2 linked regions of the Struthio camelus genome follow. Each later gene encodes a partner of the first gene's protein in a complex. Links are inferred from orthologs where the notes say so. Each region holds a gene or a part of one and is shown in the gene's direction. Other genes may lie near its edges.

Region 1 (11,604 bases):
AAAGTATGAGCACTTAATATTTTAAATGAGACAGAGTTTAGGGTTATTTAAACTTAGAGTCCTTTCCTTCTGGTGACTGATAAGCGACTGAGGTCATAACAAAAAACGGAGAAAGGGAAAAGTCAGATATTTAAGACAGCAAGCCATTTTGTTTTCTTCAGTTCCTGTAGTCTTCTATACTCTTTTGGACTGAAAGTTAAGAAAAACAAAACAAAACTAGAGTAAAGATGTCTCTTAACAAACACCTTTTTGTGAGCAGTTTTTTTTTAGGACTGAAGGAAACTTGTCACCAGCTATGGCAGCCTGTCTGCTGACATTGTATTTTCCTTCCCCAAGAGCGGTCTGTCTTGGAATCCCAGGCATCCTTCAGGGGCCTTATTGTCCCTCTCTCCAAAATCTTTCAGAAAATGAAGTGTAAAACACAGATGTGGTTTCTAGCAACACAGTGCTGTCAAGTTATAGTTAGATACATTTTAAGCTACTGATAATATGAACAACTCTTGCAGAAGCTATTGTATTATAGCGCATTTAGTGTTGTATAAAGCTTGCCCTCAATAGTGTTAATACTTCAACATATTCAATATTAACAAGATGCAAGATCACATTTGAAGAGATATTTTTCATCAGCTTAATAAAAGCAGAGTCTATCATTTAAATCAGAATATCTAGCTGCCGAAAGTAAGCTAAAATACTAGTCACCGAATTGCATCTCTTGGTAAAATATAAAGAAGGTGATTAACCTATGTCATCATTAAACTGCATGTCACCACTGTTTTGCAAAGAGAACGGTTTTATAATCTTTATATTTAGGAACTGGAGAATAAATCAAATAGCTTCTTTTTTTAAGTATTCATCTTATCAGAAATAGTTACGTAGCAGCTTATCAGCATAAAATAATTTAAAAAAATGAAGTTGTTCATATAAGCTCTGTATTCTGCTTACGCTAAGTTAAGCTAGTTTATTGTTATTTGTGCTATTTATTTCTCTCATAAGTTCTTCTTAATTTTCTACAAGCACTTCCAAGGAGGAATAGATTCCAGAATATATAATCACTTTTTGACAGTTGTCTTATTTCTGTAATAAATGTACATTTATGTTCTGAATCCTCATCATGTTACATGAGCAATCATTGAATTTAATTTCTGGGTTTGATCTAATGTGGTTTTTGAAGCTATGTCTGTTTGTTGTCTTGCCTTCCAGTTCAAGAGAGGTTGTTAGCTGGTACACAAGTTATAGCTGGGAAAGAGGGAACTAGGCTTCCCATCGCTCCACCTATCCCCCGTCAAACTGACCACAGAAGACTCGGTCCATTTCAGGTCCTGGTTCTGTTAAGTCCATAAGCAAGTCCAAAACCTACTCAATATTTCAAAACAAATCAGGTTGCCAGGTCCAAGTGTGTAGCCTTGGGTCTTTATTCACATAACTACGTTGAAAAATGATCGGCCAGTGGAAGGCAGTAAAACCAGCAATACTGAATGGGCTTATGTAATAGTTAAACCTTTCTTTATCCTTCCCTTTAGCATTTTAAAGCCCACTTCTGTGAAACGCTGGACTCAAGATAGGTAAAAGCTGAGGGGAATCTGTTCCTTACACGTCTCTGCGCTTCGGCAGTCTGTCACCTCAGGACATGATGAGATGCTTACAGCTGGCAAAAGGCTTATTCCCTTATTTCTACTGAGAGAATTACAGTGATAAAAAAGAGAAGTAACACAGAGAAGTTTCAGTTCCTTGTTTACAAATATATCAAAATGTCCCTATTCCAAAAAGCTTACAGCCATATACAGTGAATACTGTATAGTCCCACTGTCTTCAACACCAGCTCTCTACAGTAAGCACTCTGTCAGTTAGTTACTGCTGGCTAAACCTGAGGACAGGCAGACACAAATGAATGCAAAGTTTTATGTGGTTGTTATAACTGACATTCTTCACAGAATAGATGTTTATCAGAAGCTACCCAAAGAAAATCAATGACTTGTTTCTTTTGTGTATGTATGTATACCAGCTAAACCATCTATGCTAACATCACATGAATGTGATGCATTTATTTTACAATGCTTCATTGCTAATTTAGACATTTTTATGCTAGCATTTTATTTGCATATTCCTTTAATCTCTTCTCTCTAATGCAGCACATGCTGACATTTAAAAGTTGTGGTTCCTTTTTTACTGTTGGCTTTGGTTCCTCTAGAGCAGACTGCGTACTATATTTGAACAGTGCACATATCACATGCTGGTACAGGTCTTTTTTCAAAGATTCTGGAAACTAACCATGCCGAAAACGTCTGCCTAGAATATCTAAAGTTGTAGACCATTGTTTGTGCATTATATTCTTTTCTAACATGATTTTTTTGTCACTCTAACTCCCCAACTTCAGTGAAGATACTCTGAATTTCCTCCACAATGAGAGATAGCGTCACTTTGCTAAATCAAACCAAGAGCGCTATTAGTTTGACTAAAATACATAACTAAAGAATTCAAAGATATGCAGTTTACAAAACTGCAGAACTCCAGCAGACTGTATTACGTGCAGACCCGTAAGTGTTAACTACTATCAAAACAAAGTGAATGAGTATTATGCTGATTAAAACATGAGGAAGCTGGGGGGCTCAGTGACTGACAGGCCACAACGGCACATGATGTCACAGAGGGACCTGGAATCCAGGAAGGAATTTCTGGTGCTCAGTGCTGTGCTTGCATGTTTCTTTCCACCAATTACTATAGCCCCGGTATTACATTAGTAATCATGTGCCTTTTACCACCAACTCAAATGAGCATAACATCAAGTCGCAAGTACATTTTTTAAGTAAGACAATTCTTCTAGCTATCATAGGATGAAAAAGCATTTGGAAATCCTGTTCTTCTCCAATAAGAGAAATACTTCTAAGTTTTGTTGTCTGCTTCTATTTTTATTACGAATATCCGAAGGTTTAAGAGTACATAGGCTATAAACTTTATTCTGCCCTCTGACATGATTCATGATTCACCTTTGGTTTGTGCAAAATTTGCTCCTGCATTTCTTCAGCCCAATCCTTAATTTCAAGTAGCTGTGAACTATGATTACAGCTTTTCACCCCAAAACAGTTTTTACACTATCAACAAAGATAGGCTTTTGCTTTCGACTTAGATACTGTAACACACTGTTTGCTGAAAGCAATTGAACAGCGCTGCTGGCAGCAGGAAGTGTCATCTGAGATTAAGAGAACAGATCTCTGAATCACGCTTAGGTGTTCTGTTTTTTTTTTCACTGATATGTTTCCCCCTATGTACAACAGGCATACTACTTTGTATCTCTACATCTCAGTGATTTGTGGGTGGCTTTATTAGCTAACACGTGAAAGAATACAGTAATAGTTTGGGCTGGGAGATGCTATAAAATTGCGAATTATTATTGTCTCTGTAATCCTGATAGTCTATGTCATGGTGAGTAAAACTTTCCAGTATTGCATCAGTGTGATTATCCTGCCACTCCCCACCCAAAAAGGAACATAACCTCCTTCAGTGCCAGCACATACACAATACTCACATGCAGGCAGTATCTGAGACAATATTAAATAATTATTTCCTCTCAATGTCTAAGAAAAAAAAATATCAAAAATTGCAATAGATAAGTGAAGGTAGGGTGATAGATTATAGATCAAAATTAGGACTGATCTAAGCCTCAAGTTTATGATTCATGACCTTATCAGAATTATGCAAAGGTTGCTTACAGTTACTACCATTCATGTTTTCTTTTTACATACTCCTCTCTGCACTGCATTTTTAACTGTATTCTGTACACTACTCAGCAGTGCAATCACATCTATCAACCAGCTATTTCTCTATGAAATTGTTTGGCTTTAACTGCTCACTCCTTTGCCCTGCCTTTCAAACTATTCTCTAAGTTCCTTATCTTCTGACAAACTTAATGTTTTACGTGTTCCCTGTGACCATTTCTTCTTGCAGTCTCAGGGAAAAAAACATGTCTGCAGAGCGTTACACATTTGTAGCACCATCTAAGTTATTTGTTTCTCTTTAAAACCAAGTATACTACATAATAGTTAGCAAAAAAGAAGTAGTATAAAAAAGAAGAAGCTGAACTATACTAAAATTAATTAACAAACAAATAATTAATGCATAATATACTCAAAGTACACACAACTACCAGTTTGTCTTGCAGAGCATCTAAGAATAGTTACCTTAACAAAGGTATCAGCTAGGATTCCAAATGCAAAGTTTTGAACTATTCCAAAAGATTTGCAAACACATGGAAACAAAACTGGGTGCATCTATTACAGTTATCATCATCATATATCAAATTTGTAGTATTGTTTTTAGTGACTAACAGTGAATATTTATGTAGATATTTTATAATGTTAGTCTTTATATACTCAATTAAAATAATCAAAGCATATTGTGTTCTAAGTTATTTTTTATCAATGCAAAACAATTGATCCCAAAAGAATCAGATGGAGGAGCACTGAAAAGAACATACGTAAAAAGATATTGCTTGTCTCATGACAGGATCGTGAAAACAATTTGTGCTAACGTAAATGTTTTTTTCCATCATAACCTTTTCTCCATTACAGTATTTTTATGCTGTTAAAGTCATTTTGTATTTTTAAATGACAGTCGGTTTCTATAACCGCAGCAAAAAATACAGTTAAATTACCATTTAACTAAAGGCAAAATCAAAGCCAAAGTTGAACATCGCAAAAACGTGTTGTAGTTATTATTATTTATGAAGTATAAACCACAGAAGAATACTGCATGTTTTAATATTGTAAATTTTGTTGTATCTCTTTTTCACATTAAAAAACCCCATAATCCGTCTGATAACACTGGATAATGTAAGAACCTGCAGAAGAATATGTAGGTGGTGGGAAAATTGAAAGTAGTTTTACGTGTCCCTTGAATCTTCCTGTGTTCTGTGTCTCCCCAGGCCCATGGCATAAATTAGACAGGCTTCATGTCTGCTCTGTTTCTATGCAGCATCTCAGAAGCTCCAAAAGCGTTGCAGCAGCCAAGAACAGCAAGAGCACTGTGATACTGCCCACACCTCTCTCCCGCAGCTCCCGGCTGCTGGGTAGGGAACGGTTGCCAGGTCATCGCTAGCAGCAGAGTGTTGGTTTTAAGGATATTTAGCTTAAATGACAACAGCCATTTCAACTTCCATCTGTATGAGGGGATAGGGACATGCAAGTGTTCCAAAAAAAAGTGTTGCAAGAGCTTTTCAGGTTACAGTGATCTTTATGATGTTTTCCTGACTGAAGTGAAATATATGAGAATTTTCTTTGCTCAGCAAAAGAACAAAAAGAGTAAGTATCATGGAATGCCCTGTCCACCAGTGAGGTTGCACTGTACTGTTATCATATTTGCTTAGAAATGTTCAGGAAGTAGTATGAGATCAAATCACTGGAAAAACTTCCAGGGTGGTATAGTCCTTTATACTGATTTCACTGGATTCATCAGCCCCTGGCAGAGGCAGCATGTGTATGGGCCTTTTCCTCACGCTTTCTTTGAGGAATGGCTGGCAATGTAGACAAAGAGAAGAGCAGTCCAATGAGAAGCTTCTCTGCGAGCAGAATCACCGCGAGAACAAATGGAAGAAATGAAATAACTCCGGAGATCATTGGACCTGCTCTGCTTGACTTTTAAATTATTCTATTAACCTATGTGTTCCAGTACATAAGTATTTACTTACATGCTAGAGCACGCCTGTCACTTCAGTAATTCATAAAAATATCTGTTTTCTTGTGGAAAAGAGAGCTCCAAAGCAATGAAATCTAAAGCATCCCAGAAATGAATAAGTGTTAACACTAATATTATTCCTGGGTGGATATATTTATAATTTATATGCCTCTTGCTTTGACCCTGCAAAGCTGGTTCATAAAATACAAGCCAAAATAATAGAAAATACTGTGGTGCTAATCTTTATTTTTCTTAACACCTTTGGAGTTCAAAACCGTTAAGAATAACTAAGCAGAAATACACATATCACCGCGCGTCACATCTCTCGGTGTTGTGCCACGTTGTGTGGGGTGGCAAGCTGTGGCTGGAAGACCATGGAAGAAGTAACTTGGAGACGTGCGCGGTGCCACAAGCCCAACGGCAGCGACCTCCCGGGCAGCGCTCGGGGGAGGTCGCAGCGGGCCGTGGCGGCGGGCACGTCTCTCCGTGAGCCCTCACCGCCCCTCTCGCGCAGACTGCCTGTGCCGGCCTGCTCTAAAACTTGCCGGCAGAGTTCATGAAGGCTGTAGCACGTGAGGAGGAGGAGGGCGGCACAGGGCTCCCTTGAGGACGAGAACGTCCTGACAGCCCTGCGCTGGCTCGCGGTGTGACGCGCAGTCCCACCGCCCACGGCCGGCTGGCCAACACCGGGAGCGGCCCACAGCCGCACGCCGGGAACCTCACGGAGTTACATCCGCACGGCAAACCTGTACTTTGGCGCATTGTGTCAAGGAAAGACATAATGTCCCTCACACGGTCTGCAGGGGCAAACGCCATCCCACCTTCGCAGGCCTCGCGAGGCGCGAGGCGCCACGTGGGCGCTCGGATTGCGCCAGGCTGGGTCAGGACCGAGCCGCAGCACCCCAAAGGGGTGCCGGGAGCCAGCTCTGGGTTCGAGAGCGCTTCGCCCCGACGTGACGGCGCCGGCGACAGCGCCAGGCCGATGCGCCCCGGCGGGCTGCCGCCGCGACATGGCCGCCCTGCTGCGGCCTGCGCGCCTCCGCCGGGCCCGGCCGCCGCACCGCGACGCCTGACGGCTGGGCTGCGCTCAGCAGAGCCAGCGCATCACACCACATTTCTGATTAAAAGAACCCAAAAGGATGACCCTGGGGGCCTGCGCGCTCCCGCGGCGGCGGGCCAGGCGGCTCCGCGCTCCCGCACTGGGTCGGCAGCACACGCACGGCGCAGCCGAGCCCTGCCCAAGCCCCCAGGGCGCGACGCGGCGGAAACACCCGAGTGCTGCCGAAGCACTCCGAAGCCGGGGCGGTGCGGCGGAAACACCCGAGCGCTGCCGAAGCACTCCGAAGCCCGGGCGGTGCGGCGGAAACACCCGAGCGCTGCCGAAGCGCTCCGAAGCGGCGCCGCCGCCTGGCCGGAGAGGCACGAAGCGGCTCCGGGGGCGGGCGGGGCCTCGCCGAGTTGGGGCCCGGGAGACGGAGCGGCGGGGCCGAGCCGGATGTGACTGGAGCGGTTTCCTGTTCCACTGCAGCCCGCCCCTCTCGCCGCCTTGGGTGGTGGCCGCTGCCTCGTCCCCCGCTGCCAGGCACAGCGCGGAGGCGGCCGCGACCCGGTGCGCAGACCGCCGCCGGCTCCCTTCTCGCGCGGCCCCGGCCCGAGCAGCCCCCGCGGCGGCGCAACCCCGATGCAGGCCATCAAGTGTGTGGTGGTGGGCGACGGGTGAGTGCGAGGCGCCGCGCGGCTCGGCGGCCTGAGGGGAGGTGGGTGGAGTGGGGTGGGGTGGGGTGGGGTGGGGTGGGGGCGGCGGCCCGGTCCGGTCCGGTCCGGTCCGGTCTGGCTGCGGGGCTGGGGCGCGGCCCAACCGCTGCGCAGGGCGCGGGGGCTGCCCGGGCCCGTGTGGGCGTCCGCGCTGAGGGGGCGGGCGGCGGCTTCCTGCTGGGGGCGGGGGCGGGAGCGCGGGGCCCGGCGGGGCGGGCGGGCAGCGAATGGTGGCTGCCGAGGAGGGGGAGAGGGAGGCTTCCGCGGGGGCGTAACAAGCGCGGGGGGCCTGCAGCGCCGGCTCCGCACCCGAGCCCGCCCGGGAGAAGGTGCGCGGGCGGCGGGTGAGCCGCCCGGCTCGTGCGGGCAGAAGCGGCCGCCCTAGGCGCGCCTCGGTGCGGGCCGGCCGCCTCGCCCGGCTCCGCGTCCTCCTCCGGCCGCTCTCCGAGGTCTCAGGCGCACCGGGGTAGCCCTAGCGCGTTACCAATCGTTTTACGATGCCCTTAGTGACAGGGGAAATCTGGTGCTGGTTTGAAACGCCTTTACTGAAAGTAACTCCGGGAAAAGTTTCTCTTGTTGCTGCTTGTAGCTTGGTTTTTGACATCGCGTTCTTGTAGTAGGGCTGGGGGAAACGCGCTAAGCTCGACGCGGGTCGTAAATGCTGGTGGGCAGAGACTTGTGTTTTGCACGCTTACACCTAGGCCTGTACGGTTCCTCTGTGAAGGAGACAGATAAAGCGATTGCAGTACAAAAATACTTGTCTGTAAGGCTCTGTTACACCTATGGTGTTCTGATATGGTATTACTTACAACCGAAACAACCTGAGAATGCTTTTTACAATCAGATTAAGTCTGCGTTTAGCTGCTGGGTTTGGATCTAAAGAACGCTGAAATTGTGGTGGAGAAGGAGTTTGTGTGTTTGCTGCTTGTGAATGTTCTCCACCAAGCTATCCCCATCAGCTCAGAGGCATTCTTTTTCTTGCTGGATGTCAGAGCTCAGGGGAGCATCATAGGCCAGCTGGAAAACAAGACTAGTCTTATGCAGTTTGAGAGTTTTTTTTTTTCTTTAGTAGAAACAAAAATCCCAGTGTAGTCTGAGCATAATTGGTATCACAGCAAACTTGTGTAGATGACAGTGAAATGTAAGTGTAGCTAAATGGTCTTGCCACTGCCTGTGTAATTTCACATGGTGGCTTAATCTTTAAGTTACTTGGCTTCGAAGATATAGACTCCCTAAAAAGATAGCTTACTGTGATTGAAAGATAAATATATTCAGCCTAAAAAAAATGTTTTGACTTTTCTTTGTAAGATGCTGAGCAATGAGGATGTGACAGTGAAATCCTGACAAATGAAGACTTTCTATAGTAATGTCATTCATTGATACACGATATAGCTATGTTATTTTGGTTACACTGTTTTTTAACTATTTTATTTTCCTGTCATCTCAGATTTTTTTTCATTCAAGTGAACAACATTGTCTGTGACTGAATGATGTAAATAAATGCAATGCATCATGCTTGGGTGGGGAAAAAGTTTATCTACTTCCTCTAATAGATTTGAGAACTCAGCATAGAAAAACTATATGATGTACAGTAATTCATTCAATAAAACAGTTTTACTCATCATTTGCTTTGTAAATACCACCCCGCTTCCAAACTTATTGCTCTTTGTCTTGGTAATGAAAATGGTGTAATTCTACCTGAGTTTTATACATATGTGTGAATAAAATGCAGTCATTCTAACTTGCTTTCCTTCTTTCTCAGTTAGAAACAAATCTCTTTCAAGATGCTACTGAGATATCATTGCTTGTTTTTGGTAACTTTTTATGGTCTTCCATTGAGCTTTTTATATTCAATCATTTGCTTCCCTGTTCTGCTGCTTCAGAAGTTCAAGCTTTACCAGTATTCTAGAAAAGGTGTAATGTTTGGCTTAGATAAGGCTAAAGCTTTAGTGTTTCTGGAAAACAATACAAGTTAACGATTGCTTACATAATGTAAAACTCAGGTACTGTTTTACAAAGATCTGCTAGGAACAAAATAAACAAGGCTATAGAAGTACCTGTGTGACAATTTTTTGAAATTGTAAATGGGCAGGCTGTTTCTGATAAGTATCTCATGTTTGTTTTCCAGGGCTTTGACCAGTATCAGTTTAGACATGTAGTTTGGCTCAAAGCATGGCATATGTGCTAGTTGTGCTATCCTATTTTGCCCTGGTTTGCTTCCTCACTGTGAGAATTGTTTGGGGAAAAATAGATGGCAACTGTTGCTTTGGCTTCTTGATACAGACAAGTAAGAGTGTGCAGGACATCTGAACAGCCCTCCACTTGAATAACTCTACAAGAATTGCTGTTGATTGAGACTTAAGAAAAAACATTGGTGTAAGTTATTTTTAGAATGGAAGCAAAAGCTGCTAACTTTAAAAAAGCAGCTGTTCAGTGGTATGGCATCTCAGGGGATGCCTTGTCATGTTAGGGGAAGTCTTGCATGTTGCAGAAATGATAACTAGATGCCCCAGAAATGGTCCCTGTTTGAAATTTTACCTAATTTGTGGCCTTGTTTGCTAAAGCCATGCTATATTTGATTTGATAGCCCCTCAAGAAGAGGGGGAGGATAATTGGCTTTTTGTTGAGTGCAGTGCAGTATTTGTGTAAGATGCTGAACACTTGAGATCTCTCCAGTGCAGTCTGTAGAGAGTGCAGTGACTTGAAATTTGGAAGCAACTCTTACTATGCTGTCCAAGATAGAAGACATAGTACTGTAGATACTGAATAGTGTATTTGGGAGAGGAGTGTCACAGTGAGTAAAATGGTTTATCTTGAAGAGTAGTGTATAACTAAAACCACCATAGCAAAAATACTTACTTAACCTTTGATCTGATGAGCGTGCTGAAGAAGTCTCGTCCACTGTTTAAAGTCTGAGTGAAGACCCGGGCTGTACGCAGTGTTTGCCAGGGTGCTAGTTCATGTGGATCAGAGAAAGAAAGAATGGACACATCAAAGCTTTCTGTGAAGGCTGCCACCTGTTTGCTGATATCAACATTTAGGGAATTAAAAAAGCAAGTTCTTCAGCTGGCATCCGTTTCTGTGGTTGCGAGTTGGAGCTCAGTTCTCACAAGTGGTTTTCAGCTGTGGGGTAGCAGGAGCCTCTCAACCATCTGTGCAGCTCCAGAGCCTTTAGGATGGCAGGTTGTCTGACAGCATTTTTACTGCATGTCCTGTAACGCTGCTCCCAGCAGCTCTAACACAGTGGGAAACTTCCTCAAACTTATTAGTGTAAATAAGGCCAGGAAAGAGATGACATATTTTGTTTCAGAAATTGATACGTATGTGGTTTTATAAATAGATTAATTCCTGGATGGCACCAGGAAACAACGAGGGACTCACTGCTGTCTTTTATAAGATTTTCACTTATTGTTAAGTGGTTAAAACACTGCAGATTTCTCTAGGCCATGTTTTAATTCCAGTCAAATGTTGCTAGTTTCATTTGATGTAATAGTGGGTGGACAGAGCTGTGATTAAGTAGTTGCTAGAAATTCTGTTATGACTAATTCTGAGTTGGTGATATTTTAGTTTCTCAGTCTCCAGCCTTCATGTACAGGGATTTATACTTTGCCAAACAATCAGAATCCTCGGGGAGTTGTTTTAATACAGAAGCTAGATGCCTTTAAAAAAAAAAAAAAGTTAATAAAGTACTTGGAGGATCTACTTTGTAAAGGTAGGTGTTAGTGTTCATTTTTAAAGATTTGGTGACCATGCAAATCTGATTCGTAAGGCAGTGAGCCAAAAGGCGAGGAAAGCAGGAAACCTAGAACGGAACAAGTCCGAAGCAGGGTTGCTGGGCGTGTGTTTTCTTGTTTCAACGACTCTGCCTGGTTGGTGCTGCAGCACCGCGCTACAGGCACTCTGGTGTTCGGGATGAAATCTTTCACCACCTCCTTCCTGGACTGTTCTGATTAGCCAGAGCAGACTCACCAGTTTCAGTGCAAGGTGAGCAAGGGAGCATGAATGTAGAGGAGTTCTTGATCCACTGCTGAAAGTGTTAGTTCAACACAGATTTGTTAGATGATTAAATTATCTGTAATGATCTTAACTGGAAGATGAAGGCTCAGACCAAACAGGTTCTGGAAGCATCAGAGCCTCCGGAGGGCTCCGAAGAAGCTGGCCTTTGCTCCTCTTGGTACTTTG
Region 2 (11,888 bases), on another chromosome or scaffold:
GGGGTGGGGGGGCTGGCCAACGGGGCATCGGCGTGCGGCCGGGCCGCGGCGGCGAGGGCTGACGCCCTCCGTCCCTCCTCTGCTCCCGCAGACGTCGACGGCGCGTGTGACTCGTGCGGGGGGCTGCTGGTCCCCGTCCTCCGGCCGCCCGCCGGCCCCCCCGCCGCCGCCGCCTGCGATGCCGCCCGCCCCCGGGACCGCGGCTCCCTCTTCGCCCGCTTCTCCCTGCCGCTGCCCGCCGAGGCCAAGGGCTCCGCCGGCGCCGGCTCGGCGGGCGCCCGGGGCTCGGGGACGCCCCTGAAGGACAACCAGATCCTGAACCTGCCGCGGCGGAGGCCGGTGGCGCCGGAGGGGCTGCGGGGCGGCTGCGGCGGGGCGGCCGAGGCCCTGGGGCGCCTGGCTTGCCCCAAGCCCTGCCGCCCCTTCCCGGGGCCGGGGCGCCGGCGGCAGCCGCCCCGCGACCTGCAGAGCCGCCGGTGTTTCAGCTGCAAGTACTGCGAGAAGGCGTACGGCAGCCTGGGCGCCCTGAAGATGCACATCCGCACGCACACGCTGCCCTGCGTCTGCAAGATCTGCGGCAAAGCCTTCTCCCGGCCCTGGCTGCTCCAGGGGCACATCCGCACCCACACAGGTAGGGATGCGCCCGCCGCGGCCGAGGGCTCGGGGGCGGCGGGGCCCGCCGGCGGCTCTGCGCGATGCAAAAGCGCCATCCTGGGGGTTCGGCATCGCTCCTTCGTCGGGAGGGACCTGCCTGGGGTGGGTGCAGGTGGGGGTCCTGTGCCGGGTCTGGCCAGGGTGCAGGCTGGGCCCAAGGGCAGCGCTGCCCTGCTGTGCTGGAGACCCTGGAGGGCTTCCCACTTCCCTGTCTTCCACGCCAGGCCACAGCATGCCCCTGTGCCTCAGTTTCCCCTCTGTAATTAGGCCGTGGAGGCCAAGCAGAGCCTGCGAAGTGCCTCAGATGCATAAAGCCCTGCCGGCGCAGGTGTCCTAGCTCCAGAGCAAGGCTGGGATGCCCGGAGGCAGGCGCACCCCGAGAGCGGAGGGGAGTGCCCGGGCTGGGAGCAGGCGCGACGCGGGCTGGGGCTGTGCACATGTGATGCAGGTCGGGGCTGTGCACGTGCAGTGCGGGTTAGTGCTGTGCACACGCGGTGCAGGTCCGGGCTGTGCATGCACAGTGCAGGTTGGGGCTGTGCACACGTGATGCGGGTCAGGGCTGTGCACATGTGATGGAGGTCGGGGCTGTGCACATGTGATGGAGGTCGGGGCTGTGCACACGCGGTGCAGGTCGGGGCTGTGCACATGTGATGGAGGTCGGGGCTGTGCACACGCGGTGCAGGTCGGGGCTGTGCACATGTGATGGAGGTCGGGGCTGTGCACACGCAATGCGAGTCGGGGCCGAGCACACATGATGCAGGTCAGGGCTGTGCACATGCAACGCGGATCAGGGCTGTGCATACATGATACGGGTCGAGGCTGCTCACACGCGATGCAGGCTGGGGCTGTGCACACACCATGTGGGTCAGGGCTGCGCGCACACGACGCAGGTCACCGCGGAGGGGACGCGCCACGGTCCGGGCCGTGGCCAGAGGTCACCAGCCTCAGCCGGCCAAGCAGAGGGGTTTTGGGGGGGGGGGGGCAGAGCCGCCCTATGAGCCCGATCTCCGGGTTGGGGTGTCCCGCAGGAGAGAAGCCCTACGCCTGCCCCCACTGCAGCCGGGCCTTCGCCGACCGCTCCAACCTGCGCGCCCACCTCCAGACCCACTCCGACGTCAAGAAGTACCAGTGCCGCGCCTGCTCCAAGACCTTCTCCCGCATGTCGCTGCTGGCCCGGCACGAGGACGGCGGGTGCTGTGCCGCGTCCTGAGCCGCCGCCGCACGCCTGCCCGCACCGTGCCCCGAGGAGGGACGCGGGAGCAGCCGGACGGGGGCCCCGCGGGTCCGAGCCGGCCGCCGAAGCCCCGCGGCTGCCTCCCCGCCGCTGGCCGGCCGCGGCACCGTCTTGGCTGCGGAGCTTCGTGCCGGGCCGGGCTGGAGGACGCAGCGCCCGAGCCCCTTGCCGCCCGCGCTGCCGGCTGCGAGGTCTCCGGGGCCGCCGCCGGCGCCGCCTCGGCTTCCTAGACGTTGAATTGCAGAAGTAATTAAAAGCGGAGCCGAACGCTGTGGACCTGAGCCCAGAGACGGTCCCTTATTGCCCGGCGCTGGGAGCATCCCCGGGGCTGAGATCCTCGTGCCCTGCCAGCCCCGGCGGGCTGAGCCGGCGCTCGACGGCTCGGCCCGGCTCGGCTGGGCATCTCGGGGGGCCCGGGGGCATTGCCGGCTCTGGAGAGACGGTCCGGCTTGGCCAAGGGCGGCGGGGACGCCGGGGGACCGTGCCCCGCGCCGGCAGCAGCGCCAGCGCCCCACCGGCGCACCCTCCGGTTGCCTTTCGGTGGCAAGCGGGGTGCCAACCCCGGTGCTGCCGCCGGTCCTAAAAATAGCAGCAGGGGATATTGGGTTTTTGCTGAGCGCGGGATGTAACCCGAGCGGCCCGCGGGCCGGTGAGCGGCTCGGCCCCGGCCCCCGCTCGCTCGCTTGCCCCCGCCGCCGCCACCGCCTGCCCCGGCTTTCCTCGCTGGGCGGCCGGGGACGGCCACCGAGCGGGACGAGCTCCCGCGGCCGGGAGCCCCGCGGCGGCGCGCACGCCGCATCCCGGCTAAGCTGCTCCCCCCCCACCACGTCACCTCCACCGGCCCGGCCGAAAGCGCCCGGGAGCGCGGCGCTAATAGCGATGTTTGGGGCAGCGCCGGTGGTTGGTTTGGGGGGGGGGGGCTTCTCGGCCGGCTTATAAATAGCGGCAGATGCCGAAAGGAAGCTGTATTGTAAACTCGGCTCTATTTGCGGCTCTGCCCGGCTAAATGCGGCTTCGCACCTGTCCCGGGCGGCCGGGGGGAAAGAATCCGCAGCGCCAAAATAGCCCGCGTGTTTTCCCCTCGCCTCCCGCCCATGGAAAAAGCCTATAAATATCCCGGGGTGGTGGTGGGTTGGGGTGGGGGGGGGACGCGGAGGGGCCGGGCACGGTGCCCCGCGCCCCCGGCAAGCGCCGCTGCCCGGCGCGGCTCCGGCGGAGGTTCCCGCGCCGCGGTGCCCCCGGGGCTATTTTGGGCGGCGCGGGGGGCTCTGTGGGTCGCCGGGGGCCAGGCGTGCGCGTCCCCCCCCTCCCCAGCACGACGAGCTGCGGAATATTTTCCGCTGCGAGTGACCGGTGCATAAAAATACGCCGGGGCGCGTGCCCTGGGCGGCCGGCGGCCGCGGCCCCGCGCGGGGTGTCCCCGGGCTGGGGGAAGCCCTGGAGCGTGGGCACGGGGCACTGGGGACAATGGGAGCACTGGGGGCACTGGGAACACTGGGGGCACTGGGGAAAGTCGGGGCACTGGGGGCACTGGGAACACTGGGGGCACTGGGGAAAGTGGGGGCACTGCGGGCAATGGGGGCACTGAGGGCAATAGGGGCAATGGGGAAAGTGGGGGCACTGGGAACACTGGGAGCACTGGGGAAAGTGGGGGCACTGGGAACACTGGGGGCACTGGGGACAATGGGGACAATGGGGGCAAGGGGAAAAGTGGGGGCACTGGGAACACTGGGAGCACTGGGGAAAGTGGGGGCACTAGGGGCACTGGGGGCACTGAGGGCACTGAGGGCAATGGGGGCAAGGGGAAAAGTGGGGGCACTGGGAACACTGGGGGCACTGGGGAAAGTGAGGGCACTAGGGGCAATGGAGGCACTGGGGGCAATGGGGGCACTGGGGGCAAGGGGAGAGGTGGGGGCACTGGGAGCACTGGGGGAACTGGGGGCAATGGGGGCACTGGGGGAAGTGGGGGCACTGGGAACACTGGGCGCAGTGGGTACTGGGAGCATTGGGAACAGTGGGAGCACTGGGGGCAGTAGGTAGTGGGAGCAATGGAGGCATTGGGGGATACTGGGGGCAGTGGATACTGGGAGCACTGGGGGCACCGGGTATTGGGATCACAGGGGGTACTGAGCCCTGGGAGGGCTGGGGGAACTGGAGGCCATAGGGGAACCCTGGGCACTGGGAGCACTGGGAGCACTGGGATTGGCTCACGCCCCCCCACCCCCCACGGTGTCACGGCGGGCAGGGGCGGCGCATGCGCAGTGCCGCGCTCCGGGCACGGACATGGCGCCGCGCGCGCCCCGCGGCCTCGCTCCCCCTCCGCCTTGCGCGCGGCCCAAAGCCCTCCGGCGGGGGAAACCGGGGCGGCCCTGACGTTCCGGGCGGGGGACTGCGGGGCGTGGCCAGCGCCCGTGGTCCGATCGAGGCTATTGGGCGCCCGGGGCCGGCCGCGGTGGCGCCAGCCAATGGGGTGACGGCAGCTCGCTACAGTGTTGCGCGGCGCCGGCACGTGGGTGGTCCGAGGCCGGGAGCGGGGCTGGCCCGGCCCGATCCTGCCCCGTCGGTGCGGGGGTGCTGGGGCTGCTCGGGGGCCGGGTCTTGCTTGGGGGCCAAGCCGAGCGCTTGCCCGGGGCTTTGCACCCAGCCTGGGTTGGTGCTGCCGGGGCTCGGGTCGTGTCCCCGAGCTGAGTGCGTGGCCGGGGACGGGTCGCCACCATGTCCGAGGACAAGGCTCTCACCATGGTCACCTGCACGGCCCCTGTCAACATAGCTGTCATCAAGTACTGTGAGTACCCGAGCGTCCCGCCCCCCGGCGCGGACCCCTCCTTGCCCCGGGGGCCGGGGCAGAGCTGCCTGCAGGGCCCCGAGCACGGCGGGGCTCAGCACCGGGGCGAGCACGGGGGCTGCCCCTCGCTGTGGGGCGATGCAGAAACCGCAGCGGGTTGTGTCATCCCAGAAGGGCCCCCGGGACCCGTCGGTCCCCTGGGCTGTCCCCAGGGCTGTGACTCTCCAGGGTTTCCCCCTCCCCTAAATCCCTGGGGAACCCCCCCCCCCCGAGCTGGGACCCCTGAGGAGGTGGGCACGTCCATGGGGCGGCTGCCTGGATGGGCTCGAGGACGGCAGGAGCAAAGCCCTTGCCGGTGGGCTCCCATCGCTCCCCTGCAGCGGGCTCCAGCGAGCCCCAAAGGCGCCGGCTTGCGCCAGCCTTCACCGAGGAGGGCGAGAGGCCGTGCCGTGCCGTGCCGTGCCAGCCCCGTGGCAGCCGGTTCGGCCCGGAGCGGGAGGGCACGAGCAGCACGGGCTGGCACCAGGCCCCCACGCGCACCCCACCCGCGCGTCTCTTGCAGGGGGCAAGCGGGACAGCGACCTGATCCTGCCCATCAACTCCTCGCTGAGCGTGACGCTGCACCAGGACCAGGTTGGCACGGCGAGGTGGGGGGCCTGGCTCAGAGCAGGGGTCCTTCTTGGCGGGCAGAAGCCGGGTGCAGGAGCTCACACGGCACCAGGGACGTGGCGCTCGCAGGGAACGGGGGCTCGTTTGCTGCCGGGGCCGGGGGCGGCTGGCTGGGCGGTCGGACTCGCCGCGCCGTGGCCCAGCCTGACAGCCTTTGGCGCTGCCCGGAGCTGCGGGAAGGTGTGGGATTTTGGCGTTCAGCCCCCGTTTTGCCTGCCTCTCCTGGCCTTTCTGCCTTCCCCGCCTCATCCTTGGGTGCGCGACGCCGCCCTGCGGCCGGGCGACTCTGGGTTTGCAGGACGGGCCGCTGGCGCCCTTGGGGGGCTGCGGGCTGCCCCAGCCCCTCCCTGCGCCTGCTCAGCGTCCTTTGCCCCCCGGCCAGCTGAAGACCACCACCACCGCTGCCATCAGCCGGGACTTCAAGGAGGACCGGCTGTGGCTGAACGGGGAGGAGGCTGACGTGGGGCACCCCCGGCTGCAGTCCTGCCTGCGGGAAGGTGAGTGCCCTCCCGTGCCTCGGTTTCCCCAGGGAAAGGGGGCAGACCCTGCCCCGTGAGCAGGCTGGGAGGGGAGAGCGACGGTGCCCAGGCGCGGCACCGTACAAACCTGCCTCGCCGTCCCCGTCCCTCCCCGTTCCCGAGGCCTAAACCCCCCCCCCACGACGACTTCTGTGCCATCTCAGTGCGGCGCCTGGCCCGGAAGCGCCGTGGCGGTGACACCGCCGAGGACACGGCCCCGCTCAGCCTGGCCTACAAGATCCACATCGCCACGGCGAACGACTTCCCCACGGCAGCCGGCCTGGCGTCGTCGGCAGCCGGCTACGCCTGCCTGGGTGAGCGCGCGCCGGCGCCGGGGTGCGGGTCGGGTCGGGCCGGGCCGGGCCGGCAGGCGGCCCCGGGGCGCTGGGGCTGACGCGCGGCCGTGCCCGCAGTGTACGCCCTGGCTCAGCTGTACGGCGTGGAGGGCGAGCTCTCGGAGGTGGCACGCCAGGGCTCGGGCAGCGCCTGCCGCAGCATGTTCGGGGGCTTCGTGCAGTGGCACAAGGGCGAGCGGCCGGACGGGAAGGACAGCGTGGCGCAGCAAGTGGCACCCGAGACGCACTGGCCGGAGCTCAGGATCCTCGTGCTGGTGGTGAGGGGCTGGGGAGGCGGGCTGTCCCCGTGCCCACCTTCGCGGGGCTCGTCGTGGTTTGGAGAGAGGGTGCTGAGAACACCCCAGCCCCGGCCCCCGGGGTGCCTGCTCCCCCTGCAGACCCTGCGCGAGGCTGGGGGCAGCCGCCAGCGCGGTGCCGGGGTCTGGGATCCCCGTGGTGGGGATTGGGGCTGGGGGCTCAGGGTGCCGCGTGTCCCACCGCCTGCCCCCCATGCGCCAGGTCAGCGCGGAGAAGAAGCAGGTGGGCAGCACCGCGGGGATGCAGACCAGCGTGGACACCAGCCCCTTGCTCAAGGTAGGGGGCCGGGATGCCAGGGCCCGTCCTGCCCCCCGGGGCAGCTCCCTGCATCCCGGTCCTGTGGTGGGTTGGGGTCACGTCTCCCTTGGGTGGTATTTTTAATTCTTGCTGGGGGGCTGGCGTGGATGGAGGGCACTGCCCTGGGCAGAGGGGGGGCCGTGGGGCTCAGCGTGGCGCCTCGGCCTCGGCAGTGCCCTTGGATCCAACCCTGGGAGGGAGCAGGGTGCAACCCGCTGCCGTGGCCCTAGTGCAGCCGAGGGGGCGATGGGCTGAGAACAGCCCCGAAACCGGGGACGGGGGGCGGCGGCTGGCGCCACGGCTGACCCCGGCCCGCGTGTCGCCGCAGCACCGCGCGGAGGCCCTGGTGCCGGAGCGCATCGCCCGCATGGCACAGCACATCCGCGAGCGGGACTTCGAGGCCTTCGGCCAGCTCACCATGCGGGACAGCAACCAGTTCCACGCCACCTGCCTCGACACCTTCCCCCCCATCTTCTACCTCGACGACGTCTCGCGCCGCCTCATCGCCCTGGCCCACCGCTACAACGCCCACCACGGCCGCACCAAGGTAGGAGGTGGCCGGCACGGGCCGGCGCCAGGGCTCCCCCCCGCCCCGTGGCGCTGGTGCCCACCCTCCCGCCCCTTGCAGGTGGCCTACACTTTTGACGCCGGCCCCAACGCTGTGATCTTCACGCTGGCCGACACCGTGGCGGAGTTCGTGGAGGTGGTGAAACGCAGCTTCCCTCCGGCGCCCAACGGGGACCAGTAAGTGCTGTCGGGGCTCCCGGTGAGGCTGGGGGAGAGCTGGGGTCCCAGGGGCTGGGGGCTGCGAGCCCTGCCCGCCGTGGGTCACCCCGGGGCCCCCGTGCTGGGGGACGGGTGCTGCGGCGTGGGGCTGAGCGCTCGGCCGTGCCGGCAGGTTCCTGCAAGGGCTGCCGGTGGGCTCGGCCTCGCCGGCGGAGGAGCTGCTCACGGCCGTGGTCCAGGAGCCGGTGCCGGGGGCCCTTCGGTACATCCTGCACACCAAGGTACGCGGGGGGCCGGGTAGGCCAGGGGGCCCCGTCCCCATCCCCAGGGGTGGTCCCGCAGTGCCGGCCCAGGCTGGGCTGCCGAACGGGGTGGCCTTTTTGGGGACAGGATTCCCAGGTGCCGTCCCCGGGGCTGGCTGTCCCACGGCCTGGAGCGGGGATCCCCGGCGGGAACAGCCCCGGCTCCCCACTAACACCTCTCCTTGCCCCCAGCCCGGCCCCGGACCCCAGCTCCTGGACGACCCCAGCCAGCACCTCCTGGGGGCCGACGGGCTGCCCCGAGGCAGCGCCTGAGCCCCCCGCCGTGGGGCCGCGTTCGTGGTGACGCCGCGCCGGATGGCCGCGCCGGACGGCAGTTTGGGGGGGTCCGGCCGTGCCCATAGCCCCTCCAGGGAGACGGGGCAAGGACGGAGCTTGGCCGCGCGCTGCCCCTTGGGCTTGGTGCCCTGTGACCTGCTGCAAAGCCCCCTCCCCCGGGGCAGGATGTGCCCCCCCCCCCCCCGGGCCTGGTTTTTACTCTTTTGTGAACAAATAGAGGTTTTTCCCATCTGCAGCCGTGTTTCGGGGTGTACTGGTGCGGTCGCGGGAGAGCCGAGGGGGCCGTGGGGCTGCCCCGTCCCCCCCCCCCCGGCGCGTTCCTCCACTGCCCCGTGGGGGGGCGGGGCCGGGGGCGGGGCGTCGCGGAGGGGGCGGGGCGGGGCAGCCGCTCGGCTACATTGTAGCGCGCCGCTTCCGCCGCGGCCGAGCCGAGCCGAGCGGGGCCAGGCCGGGCCGAACCGGGCCGAACCGGGCCATGGGGCAGATCGAGTGGGCCATGTGGGCTAACGAGCAGGCGCTGGCGGCCGGGCTCAGTGAGTGTGCGGGGCGGGGGGGGGCCGGGGCCAGGCCCGGGTTGCCCGGCGTGGGGAGGGGGCTCCGGGGCTCCCTGCCGGCCCCGGCCCTCGCCGGGGGCGTGAGCGCTTGGGCCCTTGCTCCGCTGGAGCCTCCAGCGGCTGCTGACGGCTTGAGGAAGCCCCCAGCCCTCCCGCCCGTGGGGTCGCCGGGCTGGAGCCTCTCTCTTTCCCCTCCAGCCCGTTGCGCTCAGTTGTCGTAACTGAACCCCGTGGAGAAGTCAGTCGCCCTGGGTGGGCCTTGGGGGTGGAAGGCGCTGAGGAAGCGCAGGGGCCGCCAAGCCGCGTCCCTCCGAGCCGCCTTCGCCCTCTGCTTGGGGGACGAGTCACCGCCTGGGAGCCCGACGGGCAGGAGGGCGGCGGGATGGGGCGGCCTTGGCACGGGGAGCGTCGCCGCCTTCGCTCCGTGCTCCCTGGCCCAGGCGGGCGGCTTCCTCCTTGCCGCGGGGGCCGAGCTGCCGGCGTCACCCAGCCCAGGAAACGGGCACCCTGCTCCGTCTGGGTCTCGGGGTGCATCTGTCGTCCGCCAGCCCTCGTCCTTCGGCTGCGTCGGGCAGCCGGGCGAGCGGGGTAGGGCACGGCCTCGTGGCCGAGGGGAAGCTGTCAGTATGCGAAAGCGGGGACGTGCGGGGCCTGCCTGCCTCCGCGCTGGCCCCGCGGCGCCAGTGCTGCTCCCTTGGCGCCGGCCGTGGCGTGACCAAGGGGTGCTGGGTCCCATGAGGCTGGCGGGGTTTTCCAGGGCGGTGCAAGCAGGAGGTGTGATGCTGCCCAGGACGGCCTGGGAAAGTCCCATCCAGCCTGGGGATTAGCAGGACTAGAGCCTCCTCTTCCTCCTCTTTCCGGGCGTCCTGTCTGTACAAGGCAGCTGGGAGTGGAGCAAAGCTCATGGGCGGAGGTGTGCAGTCGCCGGGGAAAAAAAAAAACCTCTCCCCAGAGTCCTGCAATTCCCCTCGCTCAAACCAGAGGGGGTCCGGCATGGCAGAGGTCCCCGGGGCAGGGCCCTGCTGGGCCACAGGACGTAGCCTGCCTGGCTGACCCTGCTGTGTCCCCGCAGTTATGTTGACCGGAGGGATCGTGGCCGTGGCAGGGCAGTTCAAGGGCTGGTATTTCGCGGCGTACGCCATGTATCCTTCCGGAGGTGATGCTGAGGACCGGCCGGGCTGTTTGCAGGGGAGCCAGACAGGGATGAGTTGCTGGAGCATAGCAAGTAGCCTTTACTTTCACTTTCTTTTCCCAAGTTCCTCTTCTTTACAAGTTTCTTTTCCAAAATCACCATTTTCTTGTCCCAAATGGCTCTTTTCCTGCAGGTCCTGAAAGTGCATCATGACCTTCACGTTTCTGCAAAACTTCCCTGGGAGGCTGGGGGTGCTGGCCCCATTACCTGGGGATGATGAGGGTGGGGGTGGGGGGTGCTGGTCCACTCTCTGCTGCCCCTGCATGGCTTTGTCCCTGTGTCACGCACCCTGCTCCAGCCCTCCCCCCCCACCCCGCTTTTTCCAGTGATGGTGATGCCCCTAATCGTGGCCTGCAGACCCTGAGCATCCCTTTCCTTGACGCTGCCCCCACCTCAGCGCAGCAGGCGTCTTCGTCTGCCTACTCGAATACCCCAGGAGCAAGCGGAAAAAGGGCTCCACCATGGAGAGATGGTAGGTGCTGCCCCCCTGGCACTGGGAATTTGGGGTCCTGGTAAAAGGCCCCCACAGCATCAGAGGGTGCACGGTCAGGAGAGGGGCATGGAGATGGCTGGGAACAGCTTCTTCCAGGCTTTCTGACCTGGGCAATTTGCTGACATGAGCAGGGCCAGATCCTGCAGGCAGGTTTCCTGGGGTGCTGGTATCAATGGGGGGTGCAGGAGGGCAGCTATGAGGGAGCATGGGGATGGGTCAATGCGAGAGGGAGGTCCTGGGAGGGGGTCTCTCAGCGCTGAGTGCCGGCCTGACCCCTCTGTGTCACTCTATCTTCCCGTACAGTGGCCAGAAGTACATGACGGCTGTGGTGAAGGTGTTCGGGCCCCTCACAAGGAATTACTACATCCGGGCCATCCTACACGCCGCGTAAGTGGGCCGAGGGGTCTGTGTGGGCCCCGGGCTGCGGGTGCAGCCCCCGCCTCCCCGACCGGCCAGCCGGCCGTGCGGTGCCCCGCTGAGCGCCGTCTCTCCCCATGCAGGCTGGCCGTCCCCGCCGGCTTCCTCCTCTCCACCATCCTGGGCACCGTCTGCCTGGGCATTGCGAGCGGCATCTACTTGCTGGTGAGTGCTGGGCTGGTGGTGGCTGGCCAGCATCCTCTGTCCGTCTGTCCATCCATCCCGGCCAGCATCCTCTGTCCGTCCTGGCCTGTCCCCCACTTGCTTTTCCTGGCTGAGTCTTGGGGTGGGGAGGGGATGCACAGCGTGGCGGTTGGGGCAGAAGCCCCCCCCCCGGCAGGATGCCTGGGTCCCGCTGAGCTCTGTGCCACCCACTTGGCTGTCCGGGCTTTGCGCTGAGGAGTCATTTTTGGTGGGGGGGGGGGAGGGCAGTTCTATGCTGAGAGCTGTTCTGGGGGGCTGGCCGTGGGCGAGGGGCTGGGTGGGGGCACGTGCTCCCCTCCTCACAGCCTCGGTGGCTTTGCAGGCGGCGGTGCGTGGTGAGGAGTGGAGGCCCATCGAGCAGAAGCCCCGGGAGCGGCCGCACGTGGGTGACACCATCAAGCAGCCACCCACCAACCCGCCGCCCCGGCCCCCCGCCGACGCACGCAAGAAGCCGCCGGCGGAAGCAGGAGGCCAGGTGAACCCCATCGCCGTCGAGGCCGAGTGAGGCCAGGCCGTCCCGCCGCGCTGGCTGCGCTGCTCGTGCACCGCTTCCCCCCTGCGCCCCTGGGGGACGCCAGGCTGCCCGGCCCCTGCGGGACCCCCCCCAATCTCTGGGGGTGCCCAGCTCCCCTGGGGGGCACGCAGCCCTGTAGGGGCTGCGGGGAGCACGCAGCTCTGCTCGCTGCGCTGCCTCTCCCCTTTTTTTATCGCCTCCTTTTGTGGTTGCTGTTGCAATAAAACGAATGAACTTCCCCCCCCTGCTCCCCGCCGCTGCGCCTAGCTCAGCTCTGCTGGGGGTTGTAGGGCACGAGGGTGCCAGTGCTCAGTGCGACTGCTGGTAGGGGAGGGGACTCCACAGGGTTATATCTCTGGGCACAGGGGTTCCCTTAACA

The links.
Region 2: RAC1 (region 1) and CYBA share a complex: the UniProt entries of both Homo sapiens proteins name them as parts of the phagocyte NADPH oxidase complex. The link is inferred for Struthio camelus from reciprocal best matches to the Homo sapiens genes RAC1 and CYBA.

Annotation. Positions count from the first base shown.
Region 1 is NC_090956.1:9,197,275-9,208,878, forward strand, and holds the start of RAC1 (ras-related C3 botulinum toxin substrate 1), read left to right. Parts: upstream 1-6,960; 5' UTR 6,961-7,348; coding exon 7,349-7,383; intron 7,384-11,604. UniProt on the Homo sapiens protein: Plasma membrane-associated small GTPase which cycles between active GTP-bound and inactive GDP-bound states.
Region 2 is NC_090951.1:2,452,605-2,464,492, forward strand, and holds CYBA (cytochrome b-245 light chain), read left to right. Parts: upstream 1-8,488; 5' UTR 8,489-8,610; coding exon 8,611-8,668; intron 8,669-8,939; exon of another isoform or gene 8,940-9,592; coding exon of another isoform or gene 9,593-9,602; intron 9,603-9,761; coding exon 9,762-9,831; intron 9,832-10,278; coding exon 10,279-10,353; intron 10,354-10,677; coding exon 10,678-10,761; intron 10,762-10,874; coding exon 10,875-10,956; intron 10,957-11,317; coding exon 11,318-11,500; 3' UTR 11,501-11,748; downstream 11,749-11,888. Other genes in the region: zinc finger protein SNAI3, read left to right, coding at 92-631, 1,683-1,864; MVD (diphosphomevalonate decarboxylase), read left to right, coding at 4,604-4,673, 5,236-5,306, 5,725-5,839, 6,025-6,174, 6,274-6,473, 6,715-6,789, 7,139-7,357, 7,439-7,554 and 2 more. UniProt on the Homo sapiens protein: Subunit of NADPH oxidase complexes that is required for the NADPH oxidase activity that generates, in various cell types, superoxide from molecular oxygen utilizing NADPH as an electron donor.